4 linked regions of the Arabidopsis thaliana genome follow. The protein of the gene in region 1 interacts with the protein of each later gene in a pairwise test. Each region holds a gene or a part of one and is shown in the gene's direction. Other genes may lie near its edges.

Region 1 (3,808 bases):
GGGATTGTGTCATATGGGAAGAATCAATCGATGAACGACCTTGGGAGAAAGCTAGATCCAGGTAGTGTTGTTATTCAAGAGTTGAAGTCTTAATTCTGTTTAATGTTTGACTAATAAACCTCATTTTTTTCTGCCACAGTTCTCCATTTAGAGTAAAGGAGGATGATGAGGTTGATAATTTAGAGATAAAGTTCAGTAAAAGGCGAAAATCGAAGCGGATTTATCAGTCACCAACTCCTGAAGTTGGACAAAAGATCAGCCGATCTCTAAAAGTTAGTTTCATTCATATACACTTCATGTTATTCTACTCTCTCCATGGGAAATTGTCATAGTCAGTCCAAATTATGGTTTTTATAGAGTCTCAATGCCAAAACTGGACTTTTTAGTAAGCGCATGAAGATTATACATCGTGATCCAGTGCTTCATGCTCAAAGAGTAGCTGCAATTAAGGTCTGTAATCTACTCCATTTTGTTTTATATCCTAAATTAACATGGAACAAGTTTTGTTGTTTTTTTCCCTTGAATCTGCTTAGTGTTGTTGTGTTCTAGAAAGCTAAAGGAACACCAGCTGCTAGAAAGCATGCATCCGAATCTATGAAAGCTTTCTTCAGTAACCCTGTAAACCGTGAACAGAGAAGCCTATCTATGAAAGGTAAGTCTCAGTTTCTTGGTAGAATTTCAGAGTTTAGGTCCATGTAGTACTCTTTTGTTTCTTGAGCTTTATCTGTTTACATTCTCCAATAATGTGAGATCACTGTGATGAATTAGGTTGAGGCTTGTCACTTAAAGTTGAGATATAATGTTGATTCGAAGTGTAGAAATGTAGGTTTCGATTTGATTTCCTTTTGTGGTGACAGTTCCATGTGCAAGCTATGAAATGGTAAAAGAACCATTTTTCTCTCATTGATTCAGGAACTAAGTTTTACTGCAAGAACTGTGGACAGGAAGGCCATAGACGCCATTACTGTCCAGAACTAGGCACTAATGCGGACAGAAAATTTAGATGTCGGGGTTGCGGCGGGAAAGGCCACAACCGTAGAACTTGTCCTAAGTCGAAATCAATAGTCACTAAAGGCATTTCCACTAGGTATCACAAATGTGGAATATGCGGTGAGAGAGGTCACAACAGCAGAACATGCCGGAAGCCGACCGGAGTGAATCCTAGTTGCAGTGGTGAAAATTCCGGGGAAGATGGTGTTGGTAAAATAACGTATGCTTGTGGGTTCTGCAAGAAAATGGGACATAATGTAAGAACCTGTCCAAGTAAACAAGTTTCAGACAGTGATTCTTGTTTAGAGCAAGAAGGTTCTTGAACCTGTTTATTTGGTTAGGCTTGGTTTTGCTATTGAAGCTGAAATAACCAATCACTGACAAGTCCTTTTTAGCGGATGGATATTTCGGGTTTATAATCGGACCAATCACTTGAGTCCCGATTGGTCTTTTTTGAACTATCTAAACTCAAACAAAAACTGAAGTGAGTTTGACCGCTTTTGGTTTCGGGTTATGACCGCATTCGTTTACGTGCAAGTATATATACTTGTTGGGTTGATTTTTCTTGAATACGACCTGAATTGGTACAACGGACCCATGCAAAGAAAGACAATCGAGCCTAGAAATTTCTGAACAATTATCGACTTATCCATATAAATGCTATAAACACCTAATATCTCATCCATATCCACATTTAACACTTTGTTTTTTCTAACATTAGTATGCTACTATTCTTCGATGCCTTAATATCGGATGGTTATTATTAGGTAGTTATATTTAGTCTGAACACTAAATTTTATAATCATTACCCAAAAAGTAATTAGTCACGTTTTTTACTTGATCTAAATTTACAAATGTACAATGTCTTTACGCGCTAAAAATAACAATTGTGGACAAAAAAAACTTAGCAGACAAAATTGACCACAAGTGATAATATCTAAATTTGGATTTGTTCAACGACACAACACGTAACGCGTCTTCCCGTATCTTGCGTATGACTCCTTGAGAGCCTCTCTTTAATTGTCCTATAAATATAAGTCTCTCTTGCAAGACTTTTGAAACCACAACAAACACAAAAATCAAAAGGGGTCATTTACTATCTTTTAAGAGACGACATATATAGTTCTCGACCAAGAAAAGAAAAGGGGGTGACCTGAGTTCTTCAACACATAACATAATGGCCGGAGTTTTCAAAACGGTTACGTTTCTTGTTTTGGTTTTCGCTGCCGTTGTTGTCTTCGCGGAGGACTACGATGTTGGTGATGATACGGAATGGACGAGACCTATGGACCCCGAGTTCTATACTACTTGGGCTACCGGTAAAACTTTCCGTGTAGGCGACGAGCTCGGTGAGTTTTATTGTTCTTATAGCTGAAATATGTCTTTGTTTTTCTTGTTCTTATAACAGTCATAGTTATGGGATCGTGCATGGATCATGTCGGTGTTGTTCTGTCTTTCTTTCTATATTCTTATGAACATATTTTAGCTAAAAAAGGGATTAATTGAGTTTCCACCGACTGATGTTGATATTCTTATTACAGAATTTGATTTCGCTGCTGGGAGGCATGATGTGGCAGTTGTATCAGAAGCTGCATTTGAAAACTGTGAGAAAGAGAAACCCATTAGCCACATGACCGTTCCTCCGGTCAAAATTATGCTAAACACCACTGGACCACAATACTTTATCTGCACCGTCGGTGACCATTGTCGTTTTGGTCAAAAACTTTCCATCACTGTAGTTGCTGCTGGTGCAACTGGAGGTGCTACTCCTGGTGCCGGTGCTACCCCAGCACCTGGATCAACCCCAAGTACTGGAGGAACCACTCCTCCCACTGCGGGTGGGACCACAACACCTTCAGGCTCTAGCGGAACCACTACTCCAGCTGGAAATGCCGCTTCCTCATTAGGTGGTGCTACTTTTCTGGTCGCTTTTGTTTCTGCTGTTGTTGCTCTCTTTTGAGTCACACTCGAAACCTAGTTATGTATTTGTTTTACCTTACTCTCCTTATTTAAATAGTCATGTATTTGATTATTTGTGAGAATAAGGACTTGTTTTCAAGTCATTATAAACGTCTTATACTTGTGATTAGTATTGAGTTTCAATATATGATTATTCGGTTGCAAAATAAAGAGTGGGTTTCAATATCATTGAGATTACTACTATATATTACCATATTTCATGAAAATTAGTCATCTTCTTCATCCAATTTGTCTAGTTTTCATGTATAATTAGACAAAATTTGCCTTCTCAATATTTTCAATCAACGAGTAAACATTACCTGATTGTGAACCGAAGTTAGAATAATATTAAAAAGACATAGGTTATCTACTAATTCAATATACCAACAATATGGTATTTTTGTTTCAGTGGATACGTTTCTCACCTGAATTCACAACTTTTTTTTTTTTTTTTTTTTTTTTTTGTGTGTGGAGATTTTTAATCTCTGGCTTTATAGTTTGATAATCGAGAAAATGCCAAAAAGTATGCCCGTACTAAGTACAAAACATAAGACCACAAAATTCCACAATAAATTGACACGTGTCTGATCGACGTGAATCAAGAAAACCATAAACTTGTTTTGTTTTCAACAACCAAAGACATTTTCCCCATAACAATGTAAGCATGATAAAGTCTAATGGTTATACCAAGGTCTTTGGTAATTACACTGCTCCTTTTTCTTTTTTTTTTTTCCTTTTTCTAAACCATCTGAATTTAACTTTATTTTATTTACTTCATTTGTCAATGTGATATCTTCAACTTTCAATAATTTAATATGTTTGATTTTTTAGTGTAGCTACGATATTCGATAAGACCTAT
Region 2 (4,531 bases), on another chromosome or scaffold:
GCGACGAGAGGATTAGAAGGCTTAGAAGCAGCAGCAGCAGCAGCGGCGGCGGCGGCAACGCTCCTCATTCGTTAGCGTGAAAAAGAGATCTAACCGGTGAAGAGTTGGTGAGAGGACGAAGAAGAAGATCCAAATCTCTACGCTAGTTCATCATTACCCGAATGAAGTTGAAGCAGGAGGAGGAAGTTGCAGTAGAGAGAGAGAGGAAGTGGAGAAATCACATGGAAAGGGCGAGATTGTCGACCAAGGTTTATTACATGTGTGACTCTCTCTCTCTCTCTCTCTCTCTCTCTCTCTCTCTATTTTGACTGCGTTTCGATTCCTTGACACTGAGTCCAAAAGGTCTCTTTCATCTTTCTCTCATTTTTGTATATCTTTTTTACTCCTATCTTTTTAACTACTTACTGATTTTGTATGTAAATGTGAATTTCACAGTTGTCTTCCAATATTTTGCTATGTCAATTTTATCTTCAGATAATTTGATTGAGTTAATTATCTTATTTGTAAGACCAAAATGACAATTTGATGAAAGAAAAATCATATCCTTATATCTAATTTTTGTGTGGTTGTGCGAGTCTATATCAACCTACTTTGAAAGATAGACAAAGTTGTTATTAGATATGGGATTAAGGACATCTACGTCATGTATCATCCTTATAAGATTCAGTTTAAAGTACGAACGTTATTAATTTGATGTATGTGTAACAAGCGTGAACGTATGGTTTACCATACCGTATTCAATTTGTAGCGCGACCATGGTTGGTCTTTAATTATTAACCTCAAATAGTCGAACTTCAAAAAAAAACTAAACACATTTACCAAAATCTTTGATTGATGAGATTCATTTTTAACCCTAAAAAGATAGATATGCAAGAAAATAATTGTGGGGATTGTAATGGTTGTCGATTTGTCGGTAAAGGACCAATTGCTTTAGGAGTTGGTAAAGGACTTTTCTAGGGAATTAAATATGTCTTTAATTTTTTTTTATTTTTTTTTAATAAGTTTTTCTTAGATTCGCTAAATCCATAATCTAAGTATTCACCATATTAAATTTAATCAAGTGGGAAATTTCTATCATATATTAATTAGAATTCTTATTTTAGTTACTAATTGTTTGACTCTAATAGAACTTTCATATATGTAGTTAATAGTCTCACTCTTTTTTCCTTTCAATCACACTTGGCAAACTTAAGAGAGGTTTACATAATTGTGTTAAGAGTTTTAGGTGCAAAATCAATAGAAGATGAAACAAATATGAAAATCCAGATTTGAGAAATTATGAAGAATATCCACCAATGGCTAGTTGAATATATACACAGTTATAACTTTAGTCAATTCAATGGTTTAAATATTATAATCTACTATTTCGTGTACTGTATATTTATTTACCTATATACGTACGTGTATAATTTGGAGTTTTGTTTAGGGGCTAGTAAGGAGCTTAAATTCTTGTTTCTATAATACTCTCACGTTCTCAAACACTTGTTTACAAAACCAAATATTCGTCGGTTTGGGTAAACCAACACAAATGATTATATGGTTGTTCATTATCACAATGATTATCTTCCAAATGTGCACCAAGTTTTTGTTAGTGTTTTAGATTCAATCATGGAAGTATGGAACCACAAACGTACGTAAGAGGAAGAGTGCAGCACATAATAGAAAAGAGCAATGGCCAAAGAAGGCATTACAACGAAATGAGACTTGGGATTTGACACACATCAACTCATGCAAAAGGTTGTAGGTAGCGAATGGGTGTTGAAGATTAACTATCAAAGTGATGACTCCATCGAACAATATAAGTTGAGATTAGTAGCTATATGATATATTTTTTTTGGTGGGAAGTAGCTATATGATATTGATTCATGCAAACATACAACGAAGATATTAGTTTTACATTTTTAACAAATATATAAAATCAAAATCAGCTAAGAATTAAAGAGAAGGCCCAAAACGTGCCATTTGCTTCATTATCAATCGTCCATATCAATCCAAAGTCGACGATTATCGGCGCACGTTACGCACCCGGCTCGCTTATTTTCATAGTTAGCGCACGTTAGCATCTCTCCCAAGCTGCATTATTATTGGCCGTTGTGTGACTCCCATAAAGGCTTAGGGTTCCGGATTCAGGTCGGTGTCGCCACCGCCCTTCTTCGTGCTTCTCTTCCTTCTTTGTCGGATCGTCAGGTTTACAGATCAGCTCTTGTGGAGGATATGGGTGAAGAAGACACCGCGACGGTGGATCAGAACAGTTTCGGTGGTGGCAAAGATTCATTGCTTCGTAATCGTCATTCGTCGCCATTGCCTTCACCGACACAGCTTTCTTCTAAAGTGATTACATTGCCTACCGTATTAACCCTTGGCCGTGTAGCTGCCGTTCCGATTCTCGTCGCCAGTAAGTTTACTTTTTTCGACTCTGAATTCTGGTTGGAGTCATTGTACTTGTTCGGTGTGTGATAGGAGTCTAATCATCAGATCTAAACGAAGATGCAATTGCGATTTTTCCAGATCAGAGTTTTGTTGGTTTGAATTCGAGAAATTCGACAACTTTTTTGAAATTGAGCTTATTGCTATGTGTACTTCACTTGTTACCACTCTTCAAATTTAATCTGAATTGGATCTTTTGATGTTCAATTCCTGATTTTGATTGTTTTATCTCCCATTGCATTATCTTCATCATCTCCTTTGGTTTTTGAAATGTAGCCTTTTACGTTGATTGCTGGTGGGGAAGAACTGCTACGACAAGTATTTTCATTGCAGCAGCCATTACAGATTGGCTTGATGGATATATTGCACGGAAGGTAACTTCTTTCTTTACCCTTTCATGTTCTTCTGCATAGTTGAAATTGTAAGCTTTTAACAGTGAGACGTGCCTTTTCAGATGAGATTGGGTTCTGAATTTGGTGCATTTTTGGATCCAGTGGCAGATAAGGTCAGATACCTTCTTCCTTAGCTACCTCTATCCTCTTTATCTTTTCTCCACCAGAAAGGAATGATTTTTATCATTCTGATTTATGTCATTGGTATGCGCTTATGGTAGCAGCTACATTGATATTGTTGTGCACTAAACCAATGGTCGCCGTTGTCTTAGGACCAGTTCCATGGTTAGTGACAGTACCTTCAATCGCCATCATTGGTAGAGAGGTAAGATACAGAATTCTGATATACCGTTAAGTAAGTTTCACTTATCAGCTTTCTGTTCTAAACTAGTCGGTATACTTTTCACTGTAGATTACTATGTCTGCAGTAAGAGAATGGGCTGCATCTCAAAACGGCAAGCTTTCAGAGGTAAAGTTATCACCATCATGTGCGTTCTCTTGGATCTGTTTTCGTAAGTGTTCCTTTCCTAATCCATGGAAATGGCATTGATGTTGCTAGGCTGTTGCTGTAAATAGCTTGGGAAAGTGGAAAACTGCAACGCAGATGATAGCGCTAACCATACTTCTTGCAAGCCGGGATAGCAGTTTTGAGAGACTATTACCGTCGGGTATTGGGTTGCTCTATGTATCTGCAGGGCTCTCTATATGGTCTTTAGTTGTTTATATGAGGAAGATATGGAGAGTACTGCTAAAGAAGTAGCAACAAAAAACTCTTTTTTCGGGCTTTTTGCATTCAGTATATACACATAGAATGGAAGATTTACCTCTCTTCTTCTTGAAGAAAGCTGACTAATTTCTCTCTGGATACAAATGAAATTAGTTGGGCAAGCACTATAAGACTCTTATATGATGCTTTAGTTCTGTTTTCAACTTTGGGCACTGGGGTCGTACTCTACTTGGTTTGGTTTTGTATAATATCTCTGAATCACATTGCTCCGGCTAGCACCGAATTTTAATGAAGCAGCAAGCACGATCTTATGGGCAATGATGGAAAAGCAGCAGGCGCAATTTCGTTCTAGTCGAAGACTTGGTCTCATGAATTCTGATATAAATGAAAACAATTGTTGCATGTCATGTAGATGCTTTTACCGATACAATATAATTTATATATATAAAAAACTTTGGTTACAATATCTCTTCCCATTTGATCCTTCTAAACCCTTGTAAATGGAGATATCCGGAGAACCATCTGGTTAGAGACGTGCTTCTGCTTGGACTCGTCTCTTGTATCTTTCAACAAGCTCTTGTGGATCTTGACGGGTTTCGGTGTAAGCTTCGATTTTGTTCATCTCCTGCATAAAAGCAAAGAACCAGAGATTAGCATGTGTATGGGGAATATTTAGCCTTAGAATGAAAGGTAGTTACAAATGTCTAGGTAATAGCTTAACCTGAATCCAAAGGGCAAGGTTAGGCCGACCAGATGTAATATCGACGTTCATCACATCACTTAAGATAAGCCGAAATCTCTCTATGAAAGGAGCATATGCAACATCAACCTATAGAAATAAACACCATTTTTTTTCTCAGCAGCAAGAGTTGATATGGGTATGGCAAATTGAATATAGAAATATAATCGACAATACCAAACTAAATTGACCAAGAAAGAAAGGCCCTTCATTGAATTTGGAAAGAGCCTGCTCGATGTAATCAAA
Region 3 (5,750 bases), on another chromosome or scaffold:
ACTTATGTGATTTAGGCATTCTTAGGATATAAATGTTTGGAGAGGTCATACACGTGTACGTGTATCTCAATATTATCGTGTACGTCTACGGGTTTAGTTTTAAATCTTACCTATTCTCAACAAATAATATCGTATAACATAACGCTTACTAAAGAATGTCAAAATAACAATTAAATAGAAACAACAACATCAAAACAAAAAATATCATATATATCGTACTAAATACATAACATTTGGCTAACTCGCCGTATGCACCATCGTAGATACCAAACATTACAAAAATTCGTCAATATTGTAAATAACAATGTCTTCATCTCTAGTAGGACTATAGTAGAATATACCCTCACCATCGTCAATATTGGTTTATTATTGTATCAATAAATATATCTCAACAATTTTAACTCATGAAAAGATGTACGTACATCATTTTTCAAAAGTATTAAGAATATCTATACTTTGACTATATATTTTTACTTAATTATTATATATGCATAGATTTTATGGAGAAAACTCCGGAAATATCTCATCTAATCAAAATAACCAAAGCCGTACCATGTCACATATGTAAACAATATCTCTCGGGATTGGCTCGTTTGAGTCTATATTAATATCGGTTGACAAAAAAAAAACAAAAAAAAAAAACAAAGATTTATAATGTACAAACTCAATATATAATTGTGTATACCGCTTTAACAATAAAACATAATCTATTATATTTACATGTCCACATGTACGTACACCGTAAATTACATATACGTACACATAAGAAATTTATTGAAGGGTATAATTATAATTTTGCATTCGTCTTCAACCTCTGCAACCCTAATTTTGCACTCTTCTTCAACCTCTGCAATTTTAATTTTGCACTCTTCTTCAACCTCTTACCCTTACCCATAATTGTCGTCGCCGACGATGATACATTAACTTCCGAAACTCCTCGCCGCCGACTACTCTTCTTCATCTCTGCCATTTTAGTATGATAACCAGAAAATCCTCTTTTTGTTAGACACTTTAAAACGAACTCGATCGAAATTTTCTCCACTCAAGCAAAGACTCGAACTCGAACAGAGCCTCAATCGGAATTGGGTTTAAGTTTTGTCGGAATTTTTATGCGTCTTCGAATACGGAGTTCGTCGAAACTGTTCTGCGTTTCTCGAAGACAGTTTTTGATTTTATTTTAAGTTTTAAAATTATTTACATTTTTATTTATTTAATTTTAAAGATTTAAAATTATTTCCGTAACCAGAATACAAAGGAACGAAACTGAACAGTTTTCTTTCATTTCTCGTTCCAGGGCAGATTCGTCCAATTAAGCCCAAGTGGCTAAAAGCTGGTTGGCTCAATCCACTTTACCTCTTCGTGAAAAAAAAACTGAGAAAAGTGTTAACGGTGAAATTTTCTTTAGTAAATATTTATAGATATGACCTTTAACTTATTATATAGAAAATAAAAGTTGACATTATATGTCTCTTGTTTGAGAACAGTTTCTGTATCTCTCTCATTTTTTTTTTTTAATCCATTGTGTATTTGTGAGGAACGCTTTGTTTAAGAGTTTGTCCATCTTCAAGCGTTACAAAAACACTCGAGGTTTTATAATTGATAAAATCTTTGGCCATTTGGTCGGAATTTGTGAACACGACTTCTCAATTCCAAGAGAGTTAAAAGAAAAACCACACTTGAGAAAGTCCAATAAGCATAGGCAAATTTAAATATCCAAATTATCATTTCACGTATAACAAGGAGAGACCAAATGATAGAATGGCCCACCAAAATTTCAATTATTTTTGAGACTTAATCATCATTTTGGTCACAAGATATACAAAATACTCTCCTGGATTTTTATCATGAGTCATTCCACACACTAAGCTTTATATCTTTTGACTTGCCGACAATGGCCTCCATTACTCTCCGTCGGAGAGACGCCGTGTTATTGACGGCCATGTTGGCGACTGAAACCGGAAATGTGGCTATGAATACTTTGTTTAAAGCAGCGACTTCAAAAGGCCTTAATTCTTATACCTTCCTCATCTATTCTTATCTCATTGGCTCTATTGTTCTTCTTCCTTCTCACATCTTCTCTTATAGGTTTCTAAATAACAATCTTTTTGTTAGTTAATAAACCCTGTTTGATTGATTCTTGTTTTGTCAAAAGTTTTCATTTGATTACTTGTGCATTCTTTTGCAGGTCAAGATCACTTCCTTCACTAAGTCTTTCAATTCTCTGTAAAATTGGAGTTCTTGGGCTGCTAGGGTAAAGCCAACTACACTTCTTGTTCTTCTTCAACTTTTGAATGTAATTATTTTCCTAATTGTTGGTAAAGAAATTTTTATTAACCTGAAAATGTTTCTAATATACTTTACTTTTTGCTAAATGTGAATATAAATGAACAGGTCAACGTATCTGATCACAGGATTCATAGGCATCGAATACAGCAACCCAACCTTAGCTTCAGCCATTAGCAATATCAATCCTGCCATTACCTTCATCCTTGCCATTATCTTCAGGTTTTATTTTAATCCATTTACCTTTTTTTCTTACAATTATGAATTGTTAATTAGTAACGTCAGAAATTTTCTACCTATTAACAAAAAAAAATATAAAAACTTTTGTTTCTCGTTAATAAGTATTTAATTGTTAATTAGTATTTAATCCATGATTTTTTGGGTTAGTTTTATAAAGAGAATATTAATTCAGATAACACAGATATGATTATTTAATAAAGGTGAGCTGTTTTGTAGATTAACACAGATAAGACACTTGAATCATCAGTTTGTAAAATAAATAAATAAATTTTGTACTTAATTTACATGTTTAATAATTAAATTCAGAATTTCGATAGCAGTTTTTCAAAGTTTAATTATATATTGTTAGATCTACATCAGGTTCAGGAAAATGACAGGAATAAATAACGACAAAAAAAATGACAGGAATAATTGTGTGGCACATGTTAGTCAGGTTCATATTTTTAAAATGGACATTAGCTATAATGTAACATCAGGTCCTATTTGTGATGTTCTAAATAAAAACAATTTTTTAGGTTTTTGTAACACTAATATTTTACTTTGATTTTAATCAATTTGATGTATAAAGAATTTCAGAATTTTTATTTATCAGAAGAAGGTTTGGTATGATCAAAAGAAAGTTTGAGGTTTGTTTTTTTCCTGAAATTGATCAGTTTGGAAGTTTTGAACCGATTTTAACTACTTACAGAACAATATTTAAATTTTGCGGATCCATTTTCAAAAAATAAATCAAAACTTAAATTTAAGTTTTGAACTTTATAATAATCGCATTTTCAAAAAATGCCTAACTAAGTCGTTTCTTTTGTGAGATACAGAGGAGGCCATATGAGCCCCGAAACACATTATAATCTTGAACATATAGGAACATGGAGGCTAGAGCACATATATATGGTACCCTTATTTATTATACAGTATTATTGATTTAAGTAGTAGTCACAATGTTTATCGGTTCTTGGAGAAACTAGAACAAAACAAACCACAAAAATCCCAGTTTTGTAGTTATACATTTTTGTAAAACCTAATCCTTTTCATTTTTAATTATTTAAAATTTAAGTACAAAAACAAAACTCGAGAGAGTGAAAGCCTACCATATAATTTTAGGTGCGAAACCCGGAAAGACAACTAAAAATCCAGAAATACCAAATCTTTCCTCTTAATTTAGAGTACACAATAAATCCACCACAATTTTTTTTAATGGGGCTATTCTGAGAACCGAACCACAAAAACACAATGTCTCAAAACATCTTTTGGGATGATTAAAAAAAAAAGTTTGTGAGTTTCTATTATTCTTTAATGTATTAAATATATATTTGTTTAAGAGAAGTGGAAATAACTACATTTTTAAAATTATTTTTATTTATTACTGTGTCAAGTTTTATTACAAATTTCATAGGTGATAGCAATTTTGAAAATTTTCATTTGTATGATTAAAATGAATTGCTTTTTCCATTTAGCAAAATATTTGATCATTTAAATATTTATCATGTTTTCTATTTGTGAAACAAAAAAATAGAATGGAGAAAGCATCTTTCAAAGAAAAGAGTAGTGTAGCCAAAATGGTTGGGACAATAGTTTCACTAGTTGGCGCACTTGTGGTAGTTCTCTACCATGGTCCACGAGTCTTCACCCCATCTTCTCCACCATTTCCACAACTCCGTCAGCTTCTTTTGCCGTTATCATCCTCAAACTCGGATTGGATCATCGGTGGTTGTCTTTTAGCCATCAAAGACACCCTCGTTCCTGTTGCTTTTATTCTTCAAGTAATAACATATTAATTCTCTTAACTTGATACATCATACATACTTGCATGTACATAAACTAAATTTTCCTTATAGTAGATTAATATTGAATTGGACAGGCACATATAATGAAGTTATATCCAGCACCATTCACGGTCTCTTTCTTCTATTTTCTGATTGCTTCAATCTTGACGTCATTGATCGGAATCGTAGCAGAAAAGAACAATCCGAGCATATGGATCATTCATTTTGACATTACATTAGTTTGCATAGTTGTTGGGGTACGTAAATTTTAATATTTTAGAAAACTTAATTATATCTTAAACTTCTTTTCAATACTATAGCTATTTTTCGCAGGGAATATTTAATCCAGGATATTACGCGATTCATCTGTGGGCAGTACGTAATAAAGGACCTGTTTACTTAGCTATATTCAGACCTTTATCGATTTTAATAGCAGTGATTATGGGAGCGATTTTTCTTGGAGATTCTTTTTACCTAGGAAGGTATATGTATATATGAATCAATAATCTTCAGACACACTTGTTTGTGAAACAAGAAAAACCACACATCTAATCTAATGGTTTCTTGTTATGTGGTTAATGTTGCAGTTTGGTCGGAGGGATTTTGATATCGTTAGGGTTTTACACTGTGATGTGGGGAAAAGCAAAAGAAGGGAAGACTCAGTTCTTGTCGCTGTCAGAGGAAACTCCTCTTCTAGACGAAAACATAGACGACCGAATATAGATTTACAAGAATATTGGAAACGATGATTTAATTAATATGATTAGCTCTTTGTAGAATGTGTTTGTGTTGATCGAGATTAGGAGCACTCTATTAGTAACAATAAAATGTTCTATATAGCTTTGTAACTGAACATTGAACAATATATTTTGTTACTCATTTTTGAACACATGTTACGGACAAATGTTTTTGAATAATATGAAAATAGATTGAGAGAGTTGGGAAAATTGGAGGAAGAAGAAGCGACAAACCTGTCGCTACCTTCATCAAGAATCATAATATCAGTGACCTCTCCCCATGAAGAGAAATGTTTACAAAGGCTAATCATGATATCATCTTTAGAAAGCGAATACTCATATCACAGGGAAAAACCTAATAATTTGACTGCGGGAGACAATATTATCATGTGAAAAAAAAAAAAAAAATTATCAACAAGACAAAATTACAAAATATTAAATTAATAAATAATCTCGTTTAACTATAAAATCAAATTTTAATATTTTTGTATAAATTCGAACCGATATTTAATTTCTTTATGTTGTAAAACATAAACGCAAACTGTTTTTTTTTATAAATTCGAACTGAAATTTAATTTTGTTTAATTGTAAAATTTAAATTAATTTATAAATTCATATATAAACTAATATATAACTCGATTTAATGACATATTAGACTTTATAATTAAAATGAATTTAATTTTTTGTAGATGGTAGATTTTAGGGTCTTTTGTAAAACTAACATATT
Region 4 (3,351 bases), on another chromosome or scaffold:
TCGTAACTTATTGAAAGCTCGACACAATAAAGCACAAGAAGTTCGATATCAAACATTTAAAAAGTCTCAAGCTTGAACACACAAACCTGTAGGTGAATAAAGTGGGTAGAGGAGATTTCTTAATAATGGTTTTTAGATCCTCAAGAGGATTGAAGTCCTTTAGCCAATCTAATCGAATTTCAACCAAGTCTGCACCCAATTCATGGGCTTTACTCGTTTCAATCACCATCTTGTCTATTGAATCCGCCATCACTGGAGCACAGATCAAGCTCGGATTCTTCACGATATCATGACTTCCGATCTCCATTTCCGTGGAATTTGAAGCCACCTGAGATCACAAAACAGGATAAATTCCACAATCAATTAAAAATCCAACTACTTCTCAGAACTAAACAAAAATTCTGAAGATCGATTCTAAATAGCTAAACCAATGTTGTACACGAAACATCAAAGTCTTCATCCAAAACTAATACCAAATTTATTTGAAGCGATAAATCTGCAAATTCATCATTACCTATCCTTCTCCAATAAAAACGGAACAGAAAACAACAAAAGAAAACTGAACTAAAGGAAGAATCACTAACATAGACATTGCTAGGTTCCATGCTTCGCCGGCGCCTTTGATCGGAAAATACCACCGGAAACGGTACACTCCTTAGCCGCGGGGACGAAGAATCGGCAAAGAAGCGAGTGGAGAAATCGGCGGCTGGAAAACGGAGATTGGCGACGGAGGTAGGTGAAAGTCGGGGTTTGGAGAGTAGACGAGGAGGGTTGGTGAGACGAGCATTAGTTGAAGAAGCTGCCATTGAGAGGCGACAAACAACAACGACCCTTTGCGGCTTTTTTTCACAACTTTTATTGGATTTCTAAATTTTGGTATTTTTAACGTTTTTATACGCTAAAAAATGGTAGGTGAAGTTTCGATTAGGCGCAAAAAAAAATTATTTATATCTCCTTTTCATTTTCTGATATTGACAATTATATATGTTTGTTTAAATCATCAAGAGAAAATTCGTTATCTGTAATCTGAAGTTAAGAATTATAGCAGAACAAATGACATCAACAATATGTGATTTTGTTCACACAAAAAAGAAAGTCAAACAAATAGAGGTCAGCAAGTTCTTGAGTCTTTAACTACACTGGTGGCCATTGTTGGGCATGCAATGTAGAAAACTCAGCACGTTTTGCACTACAATAGTGGGCTGCGTTTTTTGGGCCCATAGGAAGCCTCTTTAGTGGGCTCGAATTGCATAGCAAACTAAAGAACAATAAATAATAAATAATAATAATAATTCCCACACACCACAAAGCTTTTCTTAACTCGCCAATAAACTTTAGTACAAAAGACAACAAAATATTTGTTTAGGAACAACCCAATATAAAATGTGCTTTTTATTTGAACATCCAACGAGGCAACAACAAACGTAATTAGACCATCTCCATTGAAGGTATTTCATAAGAGTTTTTCACAATTAAAAAAATAAAAATAATGAAAATGAAGGAGAGAAAATGTAGAAAGTTTCTCACTTGAAAAATTTTGAGATATTCTCTACAACCCATCATGACAATTCTCATCTCACTATTGATTCAATTTTTTAACAAAATTACTTTTTTAATCAAATAATTAAATTATAATATAATATTAATATTTTTTTTGTTTTAGAAACTTTGTAGGTTTCTCATGGATGGAGATGCCTTTACTCGTACTTAGCAATATGTATAATTTGCATTAACATAATATTTTTCAGCAAAAAGTAAAGCACATGTTTATTCGAAAATATGTGCAATATATAAGAGCTTCTACTAAAAAGTGAAAACTCGATCTACGCCCATCTTCAAGAATTCAGCAAATATATTTTCTTTTCCACCGAACACATCCTTTAAATTGATAAATAATAATCTTTTTGGAAAAAGGTGAGACAAATTCCATTTAAAATCAATTTATAATATTTTACTATTAGAGCTAAAAGTTTTCTTTTATAGAGACAGTATCATTATTACAACACAAAATGCGCTCTCATCAGTTAAGGAAAAAAACAACTCAGCTTTGATTTGTTCATCATTACAGTAACCAAAAAAGATGGCTTCATCTATATTGCTAACACTCATCACCTTCATCTTTCTCTCCTCACTTTCTCTCTCTTCGCCGACGACAAATACAATCCCATCTTCGCAAACAATCTCTCCCTCTGAAGAAAAGATCTCACCGGAGATCGCTCCTCTCCTCCCTTCACCCGCCGTCTCCTCCACTCAAACCATCCCTTCTTCTTCAACACTTCCTGAACCAGAAAACGACGACGTTTCCGCAGATCCTGATCCCGCCTTCGCTCCATCGGCTTCTCCTCCGGCTTCATCTCTTGCTTCTCTGTCTTCTCAAGCTCCCGGAGTTTTCATCTACTTTGTCTTCGCCGCCGTCTATTGTTTCTCGCTCCGGCTTCTTGCCGTTTCAGCTATATAGGTCATTCATATATTTTAGACCACGTACGTCATTATTTTCATGAGTTTATTTGTCCCCTAAAAATAACGAATAAAATTAGATTTAGTTTGATTTTCAATTTTTTTTTACTATTTGTATTTTTTATTGTTCTCCACTTAACATTTTGTTACAGTTTTAGATTGGTTTAGATGAAAAACGCAAGTAATATATTACGTCAGAACCACATAATTGATGCATAATTAACTTAAGAACTCTGGATAAAAATAAAAATAAAAACTAATTTACCGTTAAGTGATTCAATACACTTTGAGGACTTATACTTTTCTCTTCTTTTCATTTCATTTGTTCGTTTACTATACACTAACTTTTTTTTTTTTTTTTATCGCTAAGCTAAAGAACCTTTTGAAAAAGTTGAAATTACGTTTCAAATTAAAGTGACGTCATATGCATGCTTTACAGTATACTGCAGTTTATAGTAGTATCAAAATCAAACGTTCCAAAAATTTGTACTGTTTACATGCAAATAACACTTGAGTAATTATATGTAGACTACTAATTAATTTCGACATAAGTTTATGTAAAACACCAGTTTTTTATGATTATTTTTGTCTTAATCTTGAGACGTGTTTATGAACTGAATGAATGTATTACTTTGTGAATTAACGTATTTAAGTATAGTGCATTATTGCATAATTCCTAAAATGCCACAAGGTTAGAGGCGCATGCATGTGAGTTACTGCATATGCTGGCCTCACGGCTAAAAGCAACAACAAAAAAAGGTGCCTTCTTTTCTTGTCCCACACTTTATCTTATTTCTGGGGTTTCAAAGTCTCAATATTAAAATTAATAATATCTAGGTGAGAAGAAATATGTAAAGGACGTTTCTTGTTTTCACATTATAGGGTTTTATGCGT

The links.
Region 2: the proteins of BCB (region 1) and PGPS2 interact in a protein complementation assay, tested with the Arabidopsis thaliana proteins (one large-scale study listed by BioGRID).
Region 3: the proteins of BCB (region 1) and UMAMIT44 interact in a protein complementation assay, tested with the Arabidopsis thaliana proteins (one large-scale study listed by BioGRID).
Region 4: the proteins of BCB (region 1) and AGP27 interact in a protein complementation assay, tested with the Arabidopsis thaliana proteins (one large-scale study listed by BioGRID).

What each region holds. Positions count from the first base shown.
Region 1 is NC_003076.8:6,824,459-6,828,266, forward strand, and holds BCB (blue-copper-binding protein), read left to right. Parts: upstream 1-1,906; 5' UTR 1,907-2,167; coding exon 2,168-2,339; intron 2,340-2,531; coding exon 2,532-2,950; 3' UTR 2,951-3,290; downstream 3,291-3,808. Other genes in the region: AT5G20220 (zinc knuckle (CCHC-type) family protein), read left to right, coding at 1-61, 140-272, 358-450, 550-652, 913-1,313. UniProt on the Arabidopsis thaliana protein: Probably acts as an electron carrier.
Region 2 is NC_003074.8:20,394,646-20,399,176, forward strand, and holds PGPS2 (phosphatidylglycerolphosphate synthase 2), read left to right. Parts: upstream 1-1,951; 5' UTR 1,952-2,214; coding exon 2,215-2,395; intron 2,396-2,703; coding exon 2,704-2,801; intron 2,802-2,881; coding exon 2,882-2,932; intron 2,933-3,030; coding exon 3,031-3,144; intron 3,145-3,231; coding exon 3,232-3,288; intron 3,289-3,378; coding exon 3,379-3,579; 3' UTR 3,580-4,008; downstream 4,009-4,531. Other genes in the region: AT3G55020 (Ypt/Rab-GAP domain of gyp1p superfamily protein), read right to left, coding at 1-68; GSTL2 (glutathione transferase lambda 2), read right to left, coding at 4,073-4,171, 4,268-4,375, 4,463-4,531. UniProt on the Arabidopsis thaliana protein: Catalyzes the committed step to the synthesis of the acidic phospholipids, including phosphatidylglycerol (PG). Together with PGPS1, required for the proper embryo development by providing PG accurate levels.
Region 3 is NC_003074.8:10,463,696-10,469,445, forward strand, and holds UMAMIT44 (nodulin MtN21 /EamA-like transporter family protein), read left to right. Parts: upstream 1-1,564; 5' UTR 1,565-1,891; coding exon 1,892-2,085; exon of another isoform or gene 2,086-2,185; coding exon 2,186-2,251; exon of another isoform or gene 2,252-2,291; coding exon of another isoform or gene 2,292-2,293; intron 2,294-2,391; coding exon 2,392-2,505; intron 2,506-4,036; coding exon 4,037-4,283; intron 4,284-4,361; coding exon of another isoform or gene 4,362-4,381; coding exon 4,382-4,543; coding exon of another isoform or gene 4,544-4,558; exon of another isoform or gene 4,559-4,619; coding exon 4,620-4,768; intron 4,769-4,873; coding exon 4,874-5,009; 3' UTR 5,010-5,227; downstream 5,228-5,750. Other genes in the region: AT3G28120 (uncharacterized protein), read right to left, coding at 149-274.
Region 4 is NC_003074.8:1,926,896-1,930,246, forward strand, and holds AGP27 (arabinogalactan protein 27), read left to right. Parts: upstream 1-1,972; 5' UTR 1,973-2,080; coding exon 2,081-2,458; 3' UTR 2,459-2,789; downstream 2,790-3,351. Other genes in the region: MEE32 (dehydroquinate dehydratase, putative / shikimate dehydrogenase), read right to left, coding at 87-328, 585-806. UniProt on the Arabidopsis thaliana protein: Proteoglycan that seems to be implicated in diverse developmental roles such as differentiation, cell-cell recognition, embryogenesis and programmed cell death.